Linked DNA regions of Lonchura striata. The protein of the gene in region 1 interacts with the protein of each later gene in a biochemical or structural test. Links are inferred from orthologs where the notes say so. Each region holds a gene or a part of one and is shown in the gene's direction. Other genes may lie near its edges.

Region 1 (7,337 bases):
ATGGCACAAACAGGGAGGCTTCTAGTTTAATCGACCTAGCAAGTGGTTAATAGATGTGCTCTAGTGTCAGCACAGATTCCTTTAGGCCTGTCGGCAGACAGGAAAAGTTTGATTCAGCAGCAGATTCTGGCAGCAGTGGATGCAATCACACAGCAATGTTTGGATCCTTTCTTGGCGAGCTCCCAGATGTGGGTTTTGGCGACTGCTTGTCAGCCAGAGGGGACATTCTGCATGGGCCTGGCTTGTCATTTGGCTTCTCATCCTTCATTTCCAACCTAGAGATAAAGCCACAAGAGAAGGCAGTGCAGCAGTTTGGCTCACAGAGCATTAGATGTGCTACTTTGTCATTTTTAGTTGATGCAATTTCTTCTCTTTCCTTCTGAGCAGTTCCTGCTGTGGTGCAGGGTTGGAGCTGGATGCTCAGTGTTGAATGAGAAGATGGAGCCTTCTCTGCCCCACGAGTGAACAAGGAGTTTCTGCTTATCCAAGCCAACAGCAAAGAGAGTGTCTGATGTTACAGCAAAGGCACAGAAGCTGTGCAGATGCAGAGCAGAAGCTTTACTTTTTCTATAATCAATCAAAATAGAGCAAAATAAGCTAAATAAGGTACTTAAGCAAGTACTGAGAAAATAAGAGTGGAAATGGCACATATAATTGATTTCTCTCCTGTGAAGATGTACATGGAGAAAAAAATTGATTAAGAGGTAACTTTTGAGAAGATATAAGAAGAGTAATATCCAATTTGACTTAACTTCCTCCTTAAACAGAGGAGAAAGAAGAAGGTAAAAAGACATAAATGAAGGCAAGCATCAAGGCTGGAATTTCTGGTAGGCTAAAAAGAGTGGAGCAATAAATTAAGAAACAGTATGAGATTATAGTATAAAGGCCAGTTATGCTCATGGGAACAAAAAAAACATTTTGATATGATAGAGAACCAGAATCACTAGAAGGATGACATGAGAGAGCACAACATATTTGAATCAATAAGAAAGGAGAAAATTGAGAGGAGCTAATGATCAAGCTAGATAAATTACCTGGGTCTAAATGAAAATAATTTTAGGTGTTGAAACCAAGATAAATTGAGACATTGCAGGGAAAGAAACCACAGCTAGACAGGGTCTTGATAAGAAGATATAAAGAAAGCAGATTTCTTGCTGTGTGAAAGTGCAACTGAAGTGATGAGGAGGAAGCTGGTCCGAGTATGACTGACAGAGAAGTGCCTATAACAGGAGCTGTACAGAAAGGGAGGTGATTTGGTATTCCACATGAGGGCAACTCCAAGGCAGGGAGGCCAAGGAAGTTGGATTAAACTTTGACCTGGCCAGGAGGCAGCAGAGCTAAGTATGCAACCTGTAAATAATCAGCAGCTATTTTGCAAGTATTAACTGGCAAATAGAATTCCTGGTTCAACAGTATTCAGAAATGGCTGTAGGTAAGATTGTCCCAAGAGGTTAATTTAGAATGATGTTGCTTGTCATAAGCACTAGGACAAACCTGCACTCATGAAAGCTTATGATGCCCTCTGAACTTCTGTAAGTGGATATAAGAACAAACAGAATTTGGCCTCCTTTATTTTGTCATTATACCTCATTTTATTAATGTTTGGTATAATCTGCTTTTAAATACAGTCACACTTAACTGAAATTATTGAGCTGGCACACTTCACTAAATCTCAAGGTGCAGTACTGACTTCTTAGAGCCCTAAACAGAAAGTGCAAATGAGAACAACTCTTAGAAAAGAAGAACCCACACATCAAACCAAAACCTGCTCATCTCAACGTCCTCCTTCTAAAATGTATAATAGGAAGCACAACTTAACAAAAGTGGTAGACCCTGTTTCTGCATTTGACAATTTGTTAACCCAAGTACAGCTTTATAGCAGGTAAAGCCAAGCTAGAACCCTTGCAAACTTTGACAACCCCAGGCTTAGCTGTTATTTACCAAGGGCTGCGTTTACAGATCTCTGCCTGAAATATTCAATAAACAAGATTATTTTGGTTCATATTCTAGTGAACAAGAGATTTATGCATTATCAAGTGCAGTGGAGCTACTCTTCAACAACAGTAATATTATTTTGTCTTTAAAAAAAGAAGAAATATTGACCAAAAATGGGTAATAGACAAGAAGTGCTAAATTATTTCATTTACAAACATACAACTGCATTAGTTTCAATAAAATCCAACTACTCCAAACATCAGGTAACCTTACACTGAATAGTTTCAATAGTTCTTCCAAATCCTACTCATTGCTGGACAGCAGCTACAGCCCTGACCGGAGCCAAGACGGAAATTTAATGTTGAATTCTGTGCGATCCTTTTTGTTGTGTATTCAGGCAGTACGGCAGAGCTGCAAGCCAAGCCGTTCCCCCGTTACAATGGCGTAGGTGGAGCCATTCCTTGGCCTCTGGGACGTTTGACTAGATTTATAGCGCAAGAATTTACCGGGGGCTTGGGCTGTTTCGCAACAACCACACGTAGGACACGAAGTCTAAGGGACGAACACCACCGTGGGGCCCGGAGCGCGGCGGGCGGGGCAGTCCCGCGCGGGGCAGTCCCGGCGGCACAGGCCGCGCCCCGCGCCGCTGCGCGCGGGCCCCGCCGCTCCAGCCAATGGCAGCGCGCCCTTCCCCGCCCGGCGCCGCCATTGGCCGGGGCCGCCGCTTCCGCCGAGGGCCGGGATTGGCGGCGGCGCGCGGGCGCGAAAGGCGGCGGCGGCAGCAAAAAGCAAAACCCCGGCGCGCGCCGGTGCCCGCGTGAGTGCCCGTCCGCGCGCGCGTGTCCCCGCTCCTTCCCCTCCCTCTCCCTCATGCCGCCCCGGGGCCCGGCCCGGCCCGGCCCGCTCCTCTGGGGGTCCCCGCTCCGCGCGCCCTCCGCCCCTCAGTGCCCGCCAACCCCCAGCGGCGGCTGCCCGCCCGGCCGGGGTGGAGCCGAGTGACGGCTCCACGCGGGAGCCGCAGGGCCCGTCTGTAGCCCGTGAGCCCCGGGCCGCCGGGGAAGGCCGCGGTGTGCGCTTGGGCCGGGGCCCCGCTGGCGGGCGCTGTCCCGTAGGGGCAGTGGCGGGCTCGGCGCGTTGCCGCTCTGTGTGGCCCTGGTGACACCAGCAGCGCGCACGGGGCTTTGGCTGCGGGACGGCTCTGGCTCGCCTGTAGCCGGCGGCTGTTCTGTATCAGTGTGTGCAGCCCTTGTGCTGCTGCTGGGGCCATGGTGCTGCCCGCTCGGAACAGGGGTATCTGATCTGCCTCCTCACCCTAGCAGCGGGAGTGCCTGCCTGTGAGAGATCAGCACCGGCTCCAGTCGCGTTCCAGCGCTGTCCAAGTCCCTCTCCACCAAACCTCCCGCAAAAAACGGGGCTCGAGAAAGACGGCTCCTGCCTCTTGTCCCTGTTGTTACACAAGGATGACAGCGTAAAGGCAGCTCAAATTCTTTGGGGACAAAATGTATTTCTGGCTCCATAGCTGAAACAGATGAATCCTTGCATCAGGAGTTTTTCAGAATTTGTTTCCCCCACGTGGAAAAGTTCATCCAGATCTATAAAGGTTTAGCATACTGACAAGGAGGGAAGGCTTTTGAATAGAACTAGTTTTGAGTAACTGTTAAGAGCTGCTGCTTCCAGGCTCATTTATCACTGGTTGTTCTGCCCTGGAAGTCCCTGCCACTCTTTTGCTCCTGAAAAACAATTATCAGGTTTTTTTGGTTTTGTGGGGGTTTTTTTGTTGGTTTTTTTTTTTTTTTTTTTTGGATTGTACAGTTTTAGTGGACTTCACTAGTTCATAGTTTTATGTGGTGTTTCCAAGATTTGGGAAGAAGCATTTCAAAATAAGCATGTTCTATTTTTCTTGTGGTGGGAGGGCAATGAACAATTATATTTTGTTGAATTTATCTAGGAGGGAGAGATCTCTCTTATGGAGAAGATATTTTTTTCTCTTATACTTTCTTTCAATCTTTCTGACTTTCTATAGCTTTTGCAGTGTGCAGTGCAGCTATTTCTGTGTACATCAGCCTTTCAAAGCAAACTTTAGGGAAAAGACAATGTTTAATGTGAATGAGGAAACATGAGAGATGAAAATCAGTTGTATTTAAGCGTATCCTGCAGTCTTCCTTCCCACCCCCATCCTCATTGCTTTACTGGTTTACTGTTTCACTTGGATGGTGGGTACACTTTCTTTTAGTTTGCACAGAGGAACTCCTCAGACTCCCCTAAATCTCATCTCAGGAACTGACTGCAGGGCTAGGAAGTGTCTTACCAGATATGCTTGCTCCCCCAGGTGTCCAGAAGTGGCCCTCGAAGTCTTGTATTTTTTTTCACTTGAGACTTGTTTTGTGATGGAGACGGTGTTGAAGTCTCCCTGTGATGAACAGCACCCTCAGCAGGCTGAAGAATTCCACGGGAATCTTGAGCAGAGCAGCAAGGTTTCAGGTATGTGCTGAAATAGGGATTGTGAACATTGCATTTTGTTGCCGATATGCTGCTTCATCACTTGGGGAAATGTCAGTATTGATTATAAGCCTTTCTGTATAAGATTTTGCTAAACCTACTATTAATATATTACAGAACATGTTATTATAAGAGGATACCAGAATGAAAAAAAGGCAGCCCTTGAGAATAAAACTGACCAGACAAGTGCACAAACCCAGTATTTTGCCTTTTAACCTATAATCACCAGCCTTATGCTTCAATAGATATGTTTATATCTATAAAAACACTCTTGTTTTTCTTGTAGAAGTTGAACTGAAAGAGGTTTTGTTGGTTGTTTCTGAGTCTCTTTGTGTACCTGAGTCTCCACTTTCTGTACAATGCTTGCTCAGGAATCCCTGATGGTCAGCCAGTTCATAGATATAATGGCTTCTGATTTTTTTAAAATACATAATCCTCTCTTAGACTCCTGCATATCCATGCCCAGATTGATGCTGAACAGTGTTTGTATTGCTTTGCAAATAGGAGAAGAAATCACTTTAAAATCTGGTCATAGAAAATGCTGGCTAATATTATTAATATTATTTCTCTGATGGCACAATGACTTTATGTTCTCTGTACCCAGCTGAGGATTCAGGACCCTGGAACAGATCAGGTGATGTTTACACTGCTGTCCTTCAACAAGGACAATCACTGACTTTTTCCAGCACTTCTCTCTTTCACACAAACCAGCTCTGTTGAGCTCCTAAATGCTGTCAGTGCCTTGAGTAGGCACTGCAGCCTCTGCCACCCTGCTTGAAACGGTCTGACAGCTTTAACTTTCTCCAGGGAGGAATCTGAATTCAGTGTTGGACAAAATGGAGTATCTGGCAGATTCTAAAGCAGTTGTTGAGTTAGTTCTCCATGGTTGTTAGGATATACTCAGGATTTTTTCATTCCTGAAATATTTCACAAAATGTCTTAAAACAATTTGAAGAGGCAGAGAGAACAACATAAAGGGTAAAAAAGGAATGTAAACGGATAGTTAAGTGAGGCAGCAGGTTTCAGTTGTCAGAAGCATTTTTAGTATGTTAGTTTTTATAAAATCTTGAAATAAAAAAAAATTAAATTGAAAGTTAACTATGACTTGAATTACTAGCTGATTTATTGGGTTTTTAGCAGGAAGAAAGTGTTCTTCAGGCAGTTTTTGTTATTGTTTAAAGTAAGCTACATAGAAGGCTAGGGATGCATGTTAATATATGCTTTGATTCCAGCATATCTGTGATTAAAAAAAAAAAAATCTTATTGCTTATGATTTACTGCCTTGGTGAAACATGGTCCATTTTTACATATATAATACATTACAATTTATCTGTTTATGCTCAATTTAATCTGTTATTTATTTTTAGGATGAAAAATGTATACACATTTGATTGACTTTTCACAAATACCTTTTTGTGCTTTGTTCTGTATACTAAAATATTCTTTACCCCTGGCTTCACAGAAATTAGTCACAGCTTCTACACAATTTATAGCTTCAAAAGAAGTGAATTCTTCTGTGGGGTACAGAAAAGGCTTGAACAACAAGGATTTGTAAACTGAATGGAAAACTACATCATTTTCTTGAAATAATACATCCTTGTCGTGCCATCTAGTGATTACAGCACGAAGTGCAGCAGCCAAGATGCAGAGCAAACATGGGCTTTGGTGCCAACTATTTTAACTAACAGTGGGAAAGATGGCATTACCAATTTTTAAAATATCTAAAAAATACTGCTTTTTCTGCATTTGTGATTTGCATATGATGGATTTACACTTCTGCTACAGAATCAACTGTTACAGTTTTGCCTTTTGTCAATTGCCCTTGCAAATCCTATGTAAACATTTAGTGATGAGGTGTGGGTATCCTAGGAACCAGGCAGCTTTTGCCCTCTTGGAGTCTGCTGTCAGATAAGTAAAAATGTGTAAATGCTGCAGCTTAGAAAGAAGTGTGATGAAGAACAGCAATACCAAGTGTCCACATGGTAATGTTAACAGGATGGAAAACCTTTGTGCTGTTTTTTCCTTTGTGTATGTGAGTCCACAGTCCTATGAAATGTAATTTGTGATCTCCAGAATAGATCAGATATTGAATCAAGTAATAAAATTCCTAACTTATTTTCCCCATTCTTCCCACAGCAGGAGTAAAAAAAGATATTGAAAAACTTTATGAAGCAGTGCCACAGCTTGTAAATGTGTTTAAAATAAAGGAAAAAATTGGGGAAGGTAAATGTTTCATTTTATTTTGCTTGGAGTTAAGATTTCTTTTGGCATTTCTAACTTAAAAAGTGTAAATCTAAGATCCTAATATACACAATTTAAGCCAAATGCCTTTTCTTGACTTATTACATGGTCTCTAGGAATTCTAATATGCTTCTGAGCACATAGGTGTATTAATTAGGAACACTTTCAAGATATTTTCTTGAAAATCTGGTCTATTAAAGCCTTGCTAAAAAAACAGCATTCCAATTTTGGCAATTAAAAATTTTTGATGTAGATTCAAGTAAATAGCCTTAAAAATCCCTTCGTTTTCTCCCTTACATGAGAAATCTACTTACATGTAGCTGTGTTCTGAAATACTTAATTGGTGATCCTTAAGTTAGCTTTGTTTCCACTACAATCTCTTGGGCAGAAGTGGATAAGGAAACTGAAATGTTGGAGCTGCTTTACTTAAAATTGAACAACTTTTTATTTTTGAAGATTTATGGTATCAAATTTTAGAATGCTTGTGTTCCCATTGCCTTCAAAAGACAGTATTGCAAATACCTTTAAATTAGTGTCAGGCATGACTATAAATAGATTCAGGTACTTCTGAGTGTGGGACTTCAGCACTTAAAAGATAGTGTAATTAAACAAAATTTCTGGTTTTACTATTGAGAGCAAACAGTGTTTTTAAAAAATACCAT
Region 2 (6,988 bases), on another chromosome or scaffold:
TTTATTTGAAATTCAGTTGTCCTTATGCCCGCAGGCAGGGCCTGTGTGGGTTTGTTTTGGTTTTCTATTAATTGCTGTATTTTCCTCCTGCACAGCAGGAAAACAGAATGAACACCCACGGGATCTGGGGTAGCTGTACATCAGGAGCAGGATCACAAGATTTTATGTTCCCATCACTGTGTTAGGAGCATGCTAGAGGCATCTGGGAGGAAAAACAGATCCATATGCTCTGGGCTCCTACTCTGGGAAGAAAGAAGGTGGTTACAGCCCATCCAAACACACTGAAGGTCAGAGCTTTAACTCCTTACCCACTTTCCTGTGCTCTCCTGGTCAGATACCAGCAGCTCCCTGTGCCTTTCAGTAAAGAAATTCTATTTACACACCCTGATAGTAGTTTTCCATGTTTTCTTCTCCACAATTAGGAAAAAAACCCAAGAGCTAGAACCGTTTAAAGATTTACCAGAGTGTGTGGGAATAGCAAATATTTAAAGAAAATTATGTCAGAAATGCCTGAGCTGGGTGAAGATGCAAAGGGGTGAAATTCTCCAGCCTATGTAAGGGAAAAGGTCAGGAGAGAAGATTAAGAAGGGCCCCTTCAGCATTAAATTATTTGTGAGGAGAGTCAGGACAACACTCTGCTTTTGAGAGAGAATTCATGCCCCGGTTAGGGTTCAGCTCCTGCAACTGTAGCTTCAGGAGAGCCCAGTAAATATAAATCCCTTTAATCCCTTGGAAAATGCAAAATTTACCCTGATAAAGACATCTCATAGGTGGTCTCCCTTCTCCACATAATTTCAGTTCTAAAAAGTGACTTTTTTCCATTCCAAACATTGCATTCTGTGTTATTATCTTTCTATTTATAACAAATAGATTTGCAGCTTCCACTCCAGTGTGTTGCTTGATGATCAGGTGACACTCCATCAAATTTGGGATATTCTCCTCCCATTTTTGGAGCTACAAATGAACCACAAGCCTCTCTCCTGCCCTTCATGGGTGAGGCAAGGCTACTCACTTCCTACAAGGAAAGCGAATAGATGGCAACTTGATAGTTGAGCTGTGGCTTGAAAAGTGACATTTAGTTAAACTAAGAGGAAAAAAAACCCAACAAACAAACTAAAAACAACAGCAGCAAAAACAAAACCCCACAACGTCCCAGAATCTCAGAAGGATCACAGGGTACCATTAAACCTCAGAAACCGAGTCATGTGGATGCTGACACACAGAGGTGTGAGGAAGGGATGGGAAAATCCCTTAAAGTGCTCCGTGTGCAATTCACCCATGGATGCTCCTGCATCCACCCTTGAGCTTTCTGTTTCTCTGCAAGCCCTCCAGACCTGGCCCTCTGCGTGCTAAGTGCTTAATTCCTGTTTATTTTTTCCAGTGGATAGGAAGTGCTAAACGTCCCTGTGAGCTTGCGCTGCCTTTCCACCCTGTAACCTCCGGAATGCAGCAGGGAGGTGAACCCAGGGGGACCTTGGGCACAATCCTGGGGAGTCCCAAAAGCCAGGGAAGGCTTCTTGCTTCTTCCCAGCCTTCTCCCCCTCTCTCCATCCCTCTGTCCTCCTCGGCCTGCCCTGCTCCATGAATTATTCAGGCACGCAGCAGTTGCTATAGGGCAGGGCGCTGTCATGAATAACAACAGCGGCTATTTTTATCCCTAACTCCTGTTACCTTTCAGGCAGGAGCGGTGGGGCCCTGCCAGCTCCTGGCAGGAGGAAAAGTGCAGCCATCCACGTCTCTGCAGGCTGGGATTCGTTTTGACCATCCAAATGTGGGTGAGATCTTGTGTATTCTGCATAGATGTGCCTGAATCCCACCCTGGTACCCGCTCTGTGCTCTACTCACGGGGTGCTTTGCACCCATATTTTATTTTTTCCACCCATATTTTATCTGCAGCAGAGCATGCAGACTGTCCATTGCTGGATTTAATATTCTGCCTGCTGCAGAGGGAGAAAAAGCGTCTTAGAGGGGAAATCTTGCAGTGGATTCTGGCAGTTTATATGGGATAAATCACATTTCCTTTATGGGCTTACACAGATTCCTCCAGCCAGTTTAGATTCTCAGCAGATGATTTGCCCATTAAAAAAAAAGTAAAATATAAAGTAGAAATAGAAATAGATAGAGATAGAAATAATATAAAGAAATAGAAATAGAAATAGAAAAAGAAATAATAGAAATAGAAAGTGCCAGGGGCACGCCAAAGGTTTTCTCTGTTCATTCTTTGTGCTTTCTCCACTCAGGAAAACAAGAAATGTCCAGCAAATCAGAGGGAAGGGGTGGATTTGAGGAGGAGCTGGAGGGAAATGGGTCCTGCTGAGTGTGCAGAAACAGGGAAAATATTCCAGCCGCAGGGAACATATCTGGAGCTAGCAGGGCAACCTGGAAGATTAAAAAAAAATAAAAAAAAAAGAAAAATGGAAAGGAAAAAGAAAATAAATTGAAATAAAAAGGGAAAGGAAAAATAAAAGAAGAAAAGGGGACAAGGAAGAAAACAGCAGCAGAGCATAAAATCCTTTATTTCTGCCAAACTGAATACTGCAACAAATTATTCCAGAGCAGGGCTAAAAGGTCTAAAAAGGAGGTCTGAACTTTGTGGAAAAAAAAAAAAAATTAAAAAAAAAAAAAATAAAAAAAATCTCTCAGGAACAAGACAAATACCCTGGACGTGGACTGCACGTATCCCAGACCAGAGTTGCCAGACGTTTCCAGTGAGTGATCTGATCCACACAAACAGAAAATGGGAAACGGGGCAAAGGCTGTTTCCTGCTCCTCTTCTGAAACACCGATCGATCGCAGCTGCTCCCTCTGGAGAGGAGGGATCTGGCAGCGGGAATTCTGTGCCTCAGCCCAGCACACCCCGGGGTGAATATTTATTCCCAGGATTACTCTGGAAAAACTGCTGTGAGCCACAATATCCAGGGGACACCGCCAAGTTTGTGTGCCTGGTATGCCTTGCTGATCAAAACAGTTTTGTCATGCTTTTTATTCTTTTCCTGTTTTTAAAGAGGAGTTTAGATAAAGATTTTTAAGGGATACTGCAGTGGTTATTTTAAGGAGGAGCTGCAGGTTTCCCTGTAGGCAGAGGCACCTTTGATTCCTGCCTACAATAGGAATTCCTCACTCCTCTTAGGAGATTTAAAGGAGGCTTGGAAAAAAGAGGGAAAGGGAGTTTTTACACAAGCAGATAGTGATAGGACAAGGGAGACTGGTTTTTAACTTGCCAGAGGCCAGGGTTAAGTGGAATATTGGGGAAGAAAATCCTTCCCTGTGAGGGTGGGGAGGCCCTGGCACAGGGTGCCCAGAGAAGCTGTGGCTGCCTCTGGAAGTGTCCAAGGCCAGGTTGGACGGGGCTTGGATCAGCTTGGGATAGTGGAAGGTGTCCCTGCCCACGGCAGGGGTTTGGAATAATTTGCACTTTAAGGTCCCTTCCAACCCCAAAAATTCTGAGATTCTAAGACACATCCAAAATCGTCTTTTCCATTCCAAATACCACAAGACCTGTCCATTTTGGGTGTTTATCCCCAGACTGCTGGAGGCACACCGGGGCCACGTTAAAGGAAAAAGCAACACCCACCCAGCCTGTAGGGGTTGAAAACACCCGGAAACAGAGCTCACCAAAATACAACATAAAAAACAAAATCCTAAATTAGTTTTTAATTAGTTTTTATTGGACTTTTCTTGGTTTGAGATTATATCTGGGTGGGTTTGTTGTTTTCGTGTTTGCTTTTTAATTTTTTTTTTTCCTCCTAAAGCGGCATTTTCAGTCCCTCGGCGACTTCCAAGAGCCGGAGCCGGGATCAAACCCCATCCCCGGTACCCCTGGCCCCGCCCCCTGCCCCGCCCCCGCGCGTTGATAAGCTAAGCGTACTGTCTATCACTGTTTCGCCACCCCATTGGCTAGCGGTGGGAGATGCCGACCAATCAGCAGCGCCAAGGGGCGGGACGGGGGCGGGTTTCCCGCGCGGTGGCGGGAAAGGAGCCGCGTTTGGCGCGAAACGGGAGCGCGGCGGGGGCGGATCGCCGGGGCCGGATCGCATCGCGGGGCCAACCCGGCTTCCCCCGTCTCCTCTCGGCTCCTCTCGGCTTCCCCCGGCTTCCCCCGGCTCCTCTCGGCTCCTCTCGGCTTCCCCCGGCTCCCCTCGGCGCTCACTGCCTTCCCCGGCAGCGGCGGAGGGATCCGTCCCAGGGCGGCCGGCAGAATGGCGGCGCCGGCGGGCGGGCTGGAGGATGCGGAGCTGCGGGAGGCGCAGCGCGATTACCTCGATTTCCTGGACGATGAGGTGAGACGAGCTGGGAGGCGCGGGTGCTGCGTCCCCTGCATGCCCCCGGGGTTGGGGAACACCTGATCCGTGTCCCCATGTCCCCTTCTCCCTGTATCCCCGGGGATTGGGGAGCATCTCATCCCTGTTTGCCCCCGCCCCATGTCTACTCCCGAAGTTGGGGAACACCTGGTCGCTGTTCCCGTCCGTCGCCCCTGATCCATGCCCCCGGGAACTGGGAGCTACCTGATCCTCCCCGCCATGTACCCCAGGGGGTTGGGAGCCCCTGGTTCCTGTGTCCCCCCATTGCTACCGGCTTTAGGGAGCACCTGGTCCCTGTGTTGCCCCTTCCTGCTTGCCGGTGGGATGAAGGGGATCCAGCTCTGCAGGAATGGGCTTCTGAGGGGTTTTTCACACAGGCGGACATGCAAAGTGAGTTGATTTTTGGGTGTGTTTCACTCCACTCCCACTTGTAGGAAGACCAAGGGATTTACCAGAGCAAGGTCCGGGACATGATCAGTGACAACCAGTATCGGCTCATCGTCAACATCAACGACCTGCGGCGCAAGAACGAGAAGAGAGCCAGCAGGTGGGTGTGGGGCAGCTGGGACACTGTGCTTGTGAGGTGTTTCAGAGGTCCAGCCCTGGTTCTGCAGGTCATTTGTCACAAGAAAGCACCAGACCTTGTCCTCTGGTGAAAGCCAGGGTTTCCCCAGCCTCACAAGGAACAATTCCTTTTCAATATCCCATCTATTCCTTCCCTCTGGAAGCATGAAGCCATTACCCCTTGTCCTCTCCTTCCATTCCTTTGTCCCAAATCCCTGTCCAGCTGTCTTGGAGTCCCTTTAGGCACTGAAAGGGGCTCTAAGGTCTTCTCCAGGCTGACCAACCCCACTTCTCTCAGCCCTTTTGAGGATGCTCAAGAATATATTGGACTAGCCTGGTCAATCTGGCTTTTCAGATATTCTTGGAATCTTTCTCCTATTTGCTGTTGGTGCCAGTGCACCTTGCACAGAGTTGTGATGGATTTCATGTTTTTTCACCTCCTGCTCCTGGAAAACTTGTCGAGCAAGTGGGGGAGTGGGGAAAAAGTGCTGATGAGGAAGGGGTTGACCCACCTGCTTTGTGACCTCCCTGTGCTGCAGGCTCCTGAGCAATGCCTTCGAGGAGCTGATCGCCTTCCAGCGTGCCCTGAAGGATTTTGTCGCCTCTGTCGATGCCACCTATGCCAAGCAGTACGAGGACTTCTACATCGGGCTGGAGGGCAGCTTTGGCTCCAAGCACGTGTCCCCACGGACACTGACAGCCTGCTTCCTCAGCTGCATCGTCTGCGTGGAGGGCATCGTGACAAAGTGTGAGACTGGGGTGTGGAGGGGCTGGGGGTTTGCTGTGGAGGAGCTGGAGACCTCCAGGAGCTGTGGTGTGGAGAGGGACTTGGGATAAGGATCTGGAGGGACAGGACAAGGGGCAATGGTTTTACTCTGACAGAGGGTAGGATTAAATGGGATACTGGGGAGGAATTCTTGGCTGTGAGCAGGAGGAGGCCCTGGCACAGGTTGTGCAGAGAAGCTGTGGCTGCCCCTGAATCCCTGGAAGTATCCAAGGCTAGGCTGATTGGGATAGTGGGAGGTGTGTTTGCCCATGGCAGGGAATGAAACTGGATGATCTTTAATATTCCTTCCAGTCCAAACCATCCTATGATTCTGTATCCTGGCAGCCTGGGCCAGGGAGCTTGGCTGAAGGTCTTGAATGTTGGGGTGGTCTTTAAAATCAGCCAGTCCTGCCCATATTTGACAGTGAGTTGTGACCCAAGTAATCTTAATGTTGGAGACCCGTTTGGGGGCTGCCTGCTGACAGAGGGGTGGGACATCCCAGCCCCTAACTCCTCTCTTTTCCAACCCCAGGCTCTCTGGTGCGTCCGAAAGTTGTCCGCAGTGTCCATTATTGCCCAGCTACCAAGAAAACAATTGAGCGCCGATACGCAGACATGACCTCCCTGGATGCTTTCCCATCCAGCTCCATCTACCCTACAAAGGTGAGGTGAAGCAGCAGCAGGTTCCTCTAGGGAGGATGTGCCAGCTTCAATATGGAGCTGGTGATCCCCAGCCTCCAGTCCTGCTAAACAACCCTTTCCAGCAGCCTTGTGCAGAGTGGGTGATGCACCCTGTGTCCTCCCTGCTCTTCTGAAAAATGGTGCTCATCTTTTCATTTGGCTTCCTGCTTTAGGATGAAGAGAACAACCCACTGGAGACAGAGTTTGGCCTCTCGGTCTACAAGGACCACCAGACCATCACCATCCAGGAGATGCCTGAGAAGGCCCCGGCGGGGCAGCTGCCACGCTCGGTGGATGTGGTTCTGGACGATGACCTGGTGGACAGGGTGAAGCCTGGGGACCGCATCCAGGTGGTGGGGACATACCGCTGCCTGCCAGGGAAGAAAGGGGGCTACACTTCAGGCACTTTCAGGTGGGTCTTCTGGGGCTTCAGCCCTCTCACCTTGTTTGGCTGGGTCTCTGGAAGGTGAAATCTGGCAGCTGACCACCAGAGAGTTGGGTCAAACAGTGGCTTAAATCACTTGGAAGTGGTTTGCACCTTGATCCTCTTTAGCAGATATGCTGAGTTGGAAAGGATCCACAAGGGCATCAAGTGCAATTCCTGGCCCTGCACAGTTCACCCTAGCAATGCCACCTTGTTCAGCCCTTGCAATGCCACCTTGTCCAAACTCTCCTG
Region 3 (7,104 bases), on another chromosome or scaffold:
GTCAGGATTCCCTCCCTGACCTGCTGGCTCTTCCCAGGGTGCATTTCATGCATGAGGCTCTTCCAGAGCCACCTCAGTAGAGGTGAGAGCTGCTGCCCCTCAGGCACCAGGAAGGAGGGGATTGTCTGTCTGTACCTCCCCTGTTCTGTCCCAAAACCCAACACCTGTTTGCAGGTTTGATAATTAACCCAGAACTCCAGCACACTCTGTGACAGCTACCCTGCCTGCCCACAGTGATGCTGCTCCAGCTTCACCAGTCCTCCACTGCTCCCCAAAACCAGGGAATTCTCCCTGCTCAATTGATGACACCCCGAATAACTCCCAGTACCAGCTAAACAGCCTCAGTGGGGTTTAAGACACCTGACAAAACAGGATTTGTACAAGACAGGTGAGCCACAGCACTGAACCTCTCAGGGTTGTGACCACCAGCCCCTGAGGCGCTCTGTGGCCACAGAATAGCTCAGGATCCATGAGGGCTGGAGATCCATGGCACAATCTTGGTCATCACCCAGGAGATGCCTGGGAAGCGTCAGGGGTGGGAACCCGTGGTGTTCCACTGACCAGGGCGTTCAGCTCCCGGGGAGAACCTTGCCATGGCCATGTCCTTTTATCCTCACAGACAATAAATTTGTCCTCTGTTAAAGAGACAACACTTCCAGCCATGTGCCATTAAATAAAGAGCCTAGGGACTTTTAGCCTTTTTAAGCAGTTTACGCTATTTTAGCAAGCTGCTCCCTTGTGCACCTCCTGGGTTCTGTTTAACCAACAGCTCTCTGCTGACTCAACAGAAAATCAGAAGTCAAAACATTTTATAAATAATAAATGCTGAGTCCACTTTATTTGCTTTTTTTAACCTGTGGGGCTGATATTTTCCAAGTTGAAACATCAAAAACTATTTTAAAATTAAATGAAATCTGAGATTCTCATGTAGATCTGAGATTCTCTCATAATTCCCTGACAGCAGTTGATGAACACCTGAGGAAAAAACCAGTTTTACCAGACCGGTAACAAACTCCACAGCATCTGACAACATTTCCATGCTATTATTCAGCATATCTATGTAGAAAAAACACATATGTATGGAAACACAAATAGTACTTTAAAAAAAGAAACACCAAAGATACAATCTCTGTCTCAAGAAATCTGCAACACAAAGGCTCAGTCCTGTAAGATGTTGAGTGTGATAACTAAAGCCTTTACTCACTGCTTTATAAATCCAATTAACTTGATAAATATTACACACATAGTAAGACATCCCTACTGCCACAGCAGTCAGAACCCTATTTCTGTAATTTAACCCAGCCTTATATTGAAAATAGCCACATTTGCAGGGTCAAGACTGGATTTAGGAATGACATATCAGAGTTATGACAGGATTATCTCTGTGGATTTCCTTCTAAACACCTCATCTGCTACAAGCTGGGGAAGGAGTATGTTGTTTAGTAAAAAAACAGATTTCTAAACTAGCTTTCATAACACAAATATCTCAATATGGGGCTTGATCCAGTGCTGAAAGTCTGTGTGCCATGTAGAACCTCCTTAATGGCAAACATTTTACCTGTTCCATGGCTGCCTCTGCGTGCCAGGTATGAGTAACAACCCAGGAGCAGAAATTAGCTAATGAGGCCAATCTTTTTGTCACCTTTTTCTTGTCACCTGACTCTGACTTCCATCCCGGCACAGCCATGAGGAGGTGTGTTTGTGCAGAGCCAGCATCTGTCCCTCTGTTATTAACACTAATTATTAAACTAATCACTGTAGCTCCTTGCAGCAGCTAGCAGAAAGCAGAACTGTGGTGTTTGTGGTGGGTTCCATGGACATTTGCTTTTCTCACTTCCTTTGTTCTCAGGCTTGTTGGCTCCATGTGAACTGACATGGTAGATCATTCTATCTGCTCCTTGTCCCTGGTAAAACCATATCAATAAAATACCCAAATAAAAAACTGACCAAACACCCCAAAACACTTTTTATTTTTTCTTCGCCTTCAGTGATAGCAGATTTCCACTGGGTGACATGGAAGGAAATGCATTACTGTAGCAGTATGTTCTACAAAGTAATTGTAATTATGAAAAAAATGCCAAATACCCCCAGTTGGGGATCAGAACAGGGTCCCTGACCTCACCCCAGCTCAAGGCTCTCCCTCCAGCTACTTGTAAAAGAACTACAGAACTAAACGTAGCAAAAATGGATAAAGTAGAATATTTTCCTACTTGGATTGATTCTGTACTAGAATATCCCTGTATGGGCCATTCACCTTGCTCTTGGACTTGATGATCCTTGTGGGTCCCTTCCAACTTCAAATATTCTGTGAAATATATAAAGTGATTTGCATCTGTTGAGCAGTTCTTCATTGACTTATATGTTTTCAGTAAATTTTTCTGGAGTCAGAAGTCTTTTTTGTCTTCCCTTAAGGAGCATTAAGCAGCAAGGTTAAGTAAAGAAATCATTAAACAACTATATAATGATGAGTTATGAGAGGTTAATCTTAAATCTTTTGAATGTAGAGGGAATATTCAGAAATTCAAGGTAGAAATTGAAATAAATTGAAAGAATTTACCCAAAAGGTTTGAGCCTTCATTCACCTAACAAGAGTAGGGTTGGCTCAGAGTATGTCTGTACAGCAGCCAATGGAAAATGCATGTATTTTATTCTGTAAATAGGACAGTAATAGCTGTGTGTATCTAATAACGATAAGCTTGACTCGTGTGTTCTCACCCACATGGTCACCTGGAGACAGGACATGTACATATTCCAAAGATCAAAACGAAACATAGGCTCTGTTTAAGCCATGAAACAACGTGAAATGTTTTGGCAGCAGAGCCCTGTCCCTGCAATGTCGATAATTGACAGAGCTGTAAATCCCCAGGTCCTTCACTGCCCTTCCCAGCCCCTCACTTCTCCTCAGGTCCCTCTCGCTCCCCCTCAACCCCTCACATCCCCTCATGTCCCCTTGTGAAAAATGCCAATCACTTGGTTTAAAAAATATTAAAAGTTTAATAATAATAAAATGCTTATAAAAATAGCAATACAATTAGAGTAATAAAGTTTAGAGTTAGGACAATCACAAGACAATAAAAAGCAAAGAATTAACAGAGGTCTGGATGCTCTCAGACACTCAGTCATGACAAGCATCCCTTGTGAACAAAGGAATCACCCTTAAACCAATACACTTGTTGCATATTCATACATCATTCATGGTTATGCATACATTCTATTCTAAACAAAAAACTCTGTTGTATGTCAGCTGTTTCTTTTAATCCCCATGGTATCTCCGAGTCAGAGCAAGGCCTGAAGAAATTAGTTTCTTCTGATAAGAAGCCATAAATTTCTCTCCTTTGGAAGATTTAGGTGTTCCTCGAAGTGTGTATCTCATTCCTAAAAAAAAGAAAAAAAAAACCAACCTCCCCCCTTATACAGAGTCTTTATTTTTTAACTACTAAAGTCTTCATTTTAACTACAAAAGCACAACTAATCAATATAACATAATACATATAGTAACTATCTGCGTAGAGCCATGTAATACGCATTTTTCACACCCTCACGGTCTCTCACATCCCCTCATATCCCCTCATGTCCCCTCACATCCCCTCACGTCCCCTCACATTTCCTCACATCCCCTCACGGTCTCTCACATTCCCTCATGTCCCCTCACATCCCCTCACGGTGCCTCACATTCCCTCACATTCCCTCACATTCCCTCACGTCCCCTCACATTTCCTCACATCCCCTCACGGTCTCTCACATTCCCTCATGTCCCCCTCACATTTCCTCACATCCCCTCACGGTCCCTCACATCCCCTCATATCCCCTCATGTCCCCTCACATTCCCTCACATCCCTTCACATCCCCTCACATTCCCTCACATCCCTTCACATCCCCTCACATTCCCTCACATCCCCTCACGGTCCCGCCCCAGCCCGGGCGCGGGGAGCGCCCCCCCCGCCAGGCGGCGCAATGGTGCTGGCGGGCGGCCCGAGAGCGGGAGCCGCGATTGGTCCATGCGGCTGGGGCGTGGCTTCAAGGAACCCCGCCCAGCAAGGCGGTCGGGGGCGGGGCTCACGGCGCTGTTCTGGGCAGCCATTGGACGATCCCGGTCGGGGGCGGGGCCAGGGCAGCGCGCGAAGGCTCGAAGCGGTCCCCGGGCGGCGGGAGCGCGGGCGGGCCATGGCGGCGGTACCGGTAACAACGGAGGGTTCCGCTGAGGTGAGTCCTGCCGCTCCCCTACGTTCGGCATGGCCGGCCGGCTGCTGACGGCGGAGGCAGCTCGCGACTGCCTGAGGCCTTGCGCCTCATCGGGCTGTGGCGAGGTGGAAGGCCCGGGAGGGACAGCGAGGGAAGTGGCGATTCCAGTAACCGTTTCGGTACGGTGCTCTTTCGGGTAGCACTGCCGGTGGCGGAGTCAGTAGTCCCAGCCACCTCTGCCCGCCACCCGTGATCGCGGGCGATCCCGCGCCGTCACTGGGCTCGCCCTTCCTGGCAGACTACAGCTCCCGGCATGCCCCGTGCCCGCCCTGCCGGCCGCGGGGCACGCTGGGAAGGCCGCGCTCAGCCGGTCTCCAGGGGCGCGGTGCATGCCGGGAGGGCTGCGGGGCCCGCCGTGAGGGGTCTGAATAAAAATAAATAAATAATAAAATAACGAGTGAAAGTCTCCCGTGTGAATGCCATCACATCAGCCAATGTCAGTTCTGTGCTTTTGCTGTGTAAACTCCCACGTATACTACCTTATATGTAAATATGCTACCCCACATGTAAATAGTCACTTGTATTGATAAATATGGTAAATATCAATAATAACAATAAGTATTACTAAATATGTAAATAGCATAATCAGACTATACGGAGAGTGCATATGGATTTCCTTGTGTGTGAGGTTTTGGAATGAATTTGGATGGCAGCAGTCAGGACTACATAAACATTACGTTACCTCATTAAGAAATTTTTAATTTAAAAAATGGTATTTTGCTTTGTAGCTTCCACTGGCAGATCTGAACCCAGACTTGCAGAAACCCCTGGACAGCGACTCTGACAGTGGCCAGGGCAGCTGTGAGACAACCTCCCCAGGCCCCCTTGGCAAGAGCACAGCCTCCTTCGAGGACAGAGGTCCGTAACAGTTCCATGAATTGTTTTTCTCCAACTCTACAGTTTTTGTTTAGTAAATACCTTTTAGGAGATTGTCACTGCTTGACCTGTAGGAATCCAAATTCTTGTTGTTGCTCAGAATGTGGGTAGGCATCTTTAAACCTCTGAAGAGTGCTACAGAAAGAAAAATATTGAATGGGATGTGCCTTAATTACTGATTCACTTTTTTCCTTGTCTTGTTTAATCTATGTAGTGTGATTTTTTATTACTATTTCAAGGCAAGACACTACCAGTGAAGAGTTTTCAGCTTTTCTTTTTTTTTTTTTTGCTTTGCTTTTTTTTTTTTTTTTAAGGTTAGAAACTTTTAACATCAATTTGGGTTAATTAAATGCTGTTCTCTGGGGAGAAGTGGATTTTGGAAAGTTGAGTTTGAAGCATGAAAGATTTTTCACACTTCCATGAGAAGCTCATTTGCTGTGGATGGTGACATATGTCAAATTTAACGGATGTAAATTTGGTTATTTGTTAATTAACTTGTTGCACTTTCCTTTTTTATTTTCATGTGTTTCTCCAGATTCAGAAGAAGAAATTTTTGTGCGTAAAAAAGCAAAAAACCAGAAGGTGCTTCAGGACAGTGAGAGCGAAGAGGAGGAGGAGGATGGAGGCTCACCTGTGCAGGAAGATGCTGTGGGTGGAGACAAGGAAAATGGGGAGGAAAAGGAAAATATTGCTACTGAAAAGAATAAATCCCATCGGGTTCGCCCAGCTCTGCTGGACACTGATGACAGTGACACTGGTGACCCTTTGCAGATTGAAAACCTTGAAACAGGCAGGACATCTGGCTTGCCTGAGGGTGAGCTGGAAAAGGAGAGACCCCTAAAATCTGGGAAAAAGTACAGGAAGCATAAACACAAACACAGCATTGAAGAGGAGCCAGCAAAAGAAGCTGTAGCAAAACCCAGAAGGAGAAAGGAGAAGGAGAAAATAATGGAGTCCATTAAACAGCTGAAGAAAGAAAAGAAGCCTGTGGCAGAGGTGGGTGTTTTAGTACAAACCTTCAGATAACTTCTCAACTAAGTTAAATTTATTGTTGTTTGTGGTTATTCTGTTGCAAAGCTTCAGTGTTGTGTCCACATTCCTGCAGCAGGTTTGAGATCCACAGAACACCATACAAGTTTAACCTGCAAAGTCTGCAGGTTCATTTCAATTTAATTTGCAGTTTAAGGAAGTACAAAACCTAACACTTGATGATTTAATGTAATTTTAAATTAATGTCAAAGAACCAAAGGGACCTTCTGAAGGGAATCACAGGAATAATTTATTCTTCTGGAAGCAGGTGGATGGTGGTGAGAGGCCTCCCTTCAATGACAGTGGATGTCTGCTGGATGACAAGGACCTCTTTGATAATGGCTTGGAAGAGGAGAGTGATCAGCCCCTTGAGGATGAAGAGTCTCTAGAATCCATTCGAGCAGCTGTGAAAAAGAAAATAAAACAATACAAGGTAACAGTTGGCTGTGACACAAAAATTATTGTAAATGTTCTCTTTTTCAAACTGATAGAGAATAGGTTTAGATGAGATATTGGGAAGGAATTTTTCCCTGTGAGGGTGGGGAGGCCCCTGAATCCCTGGAATTGTCCAAGGCCAGGTTGGACAGGGCTTGGAGCACTCTGGGACAGTGGAAAATGTCCCCATGGCAGAGGTGGAAAGGGATGATCTTTAAGGTCTTTTGCAACACAAATCATTCCATGGTTACTGGATTTATCAGGAATTTGTAGCTGAGCAGGTTCTAAAACTCTGATGATGGAGGAGTTGTACTGCTGTGGCAGAAGAGAGGAGAGCCTTCTGGTTTTTGTTTTTAAAGATGGAGGGATGTTGTTCTGGCAAGTTAAAAAGATAATGCTGTAGCAGGAGCTTTGGAATCTGCCCTTGTGTGGGGTTTGTGCTGGTTTATGAGAACCTTGCTGGCTTTGCTGACCAGTGTTAGTTCTGTACAGTTATTTGTGATGTGTTTGCCCTTGATAGTG

Evidence for each region.
Region 2: the proteins of CDC7 (region 1) and MCM3 form a complex in vitro, tested with the Homo sapiens proteins (2 studies listed by BioGRID and IntAct, with this or other methods). The link is inferred for Lonchura striata from reciprocal best matches to the Homo sapiens genes CDC7 and MCM3.
Region 3: of the proteins of CDC7 (region 1) and CLSPN, one has a biochemical effect on the other in vitro, tested with the Homo sapiens proteins (3 studies listed by BioGRID, with this or other methods). The link is inferred for Lonchura striata from reciprocal best matches to the Homo sapiens genes CDC7 and CLSPN.

What each region holds. Positions count from the first base shown.
Region 1 is NC_134611.1:20,213,749-20,221,085, forward strand, and holds the start of CDC7 (cell division cycle 7-related protein kinase), read left to right. Parts: upstream 1-4,322; coding exon 4,323-4,416; exon of another isoform or gene 4,417-4,423; intron 4,424-6,570; coding exon 6,571-6,657; intron 6,658-7,337. UniProt on the Homo sapiens protein: Kinase involved in initiation of DNA replication. Phosphorylates critical substrates that regulate the G1/S phase transition and initiation of DNA replication, such as MCM proteins and CLASPIN.
Region 2 is NC_134605.1:110,349,675-110,356,662, reverse strand, and holds the start of MCM3 (DNA replication licensing factor MCM3), read left to right. Parts: upstream 1-3,978; 5' UTR 3,979-4,199; coding exon 4,200-4,280; intron 4,281-4,735; coding exon 4,736-4,848; intron 4,849-5,404; coding exon 5,405-5,613; intron 5,614-6,163; coding exon 6,164-6,294; intron 6,295-6,485; coding exon 6,486-6,724; intron 6,725-6,988. UniProt on the Homo sapiens protein: Acts as a component of the MCM2-7 complex (MCM complex) which is the replicative helicase essential for 'once per cell cycle' DNA replication initiation and elongation in eukaryotic cells.
Region 3 is NC_134628.1:3,986,466-3,993,569, reverse strand, and holds the start of CLSPN (claspin), read left to right. Parts: upstream 1-4,094; 5' UTR 4,095-4,164; coding exon 4,165-4,203; intron 4,204-4,970; coding exon 4,971-5,100; intron 5,101-5,653; coding exon 5,654-6,114; intron 6,115-6,415; coding exon 6,416-6,580; intron 6,581-7,104.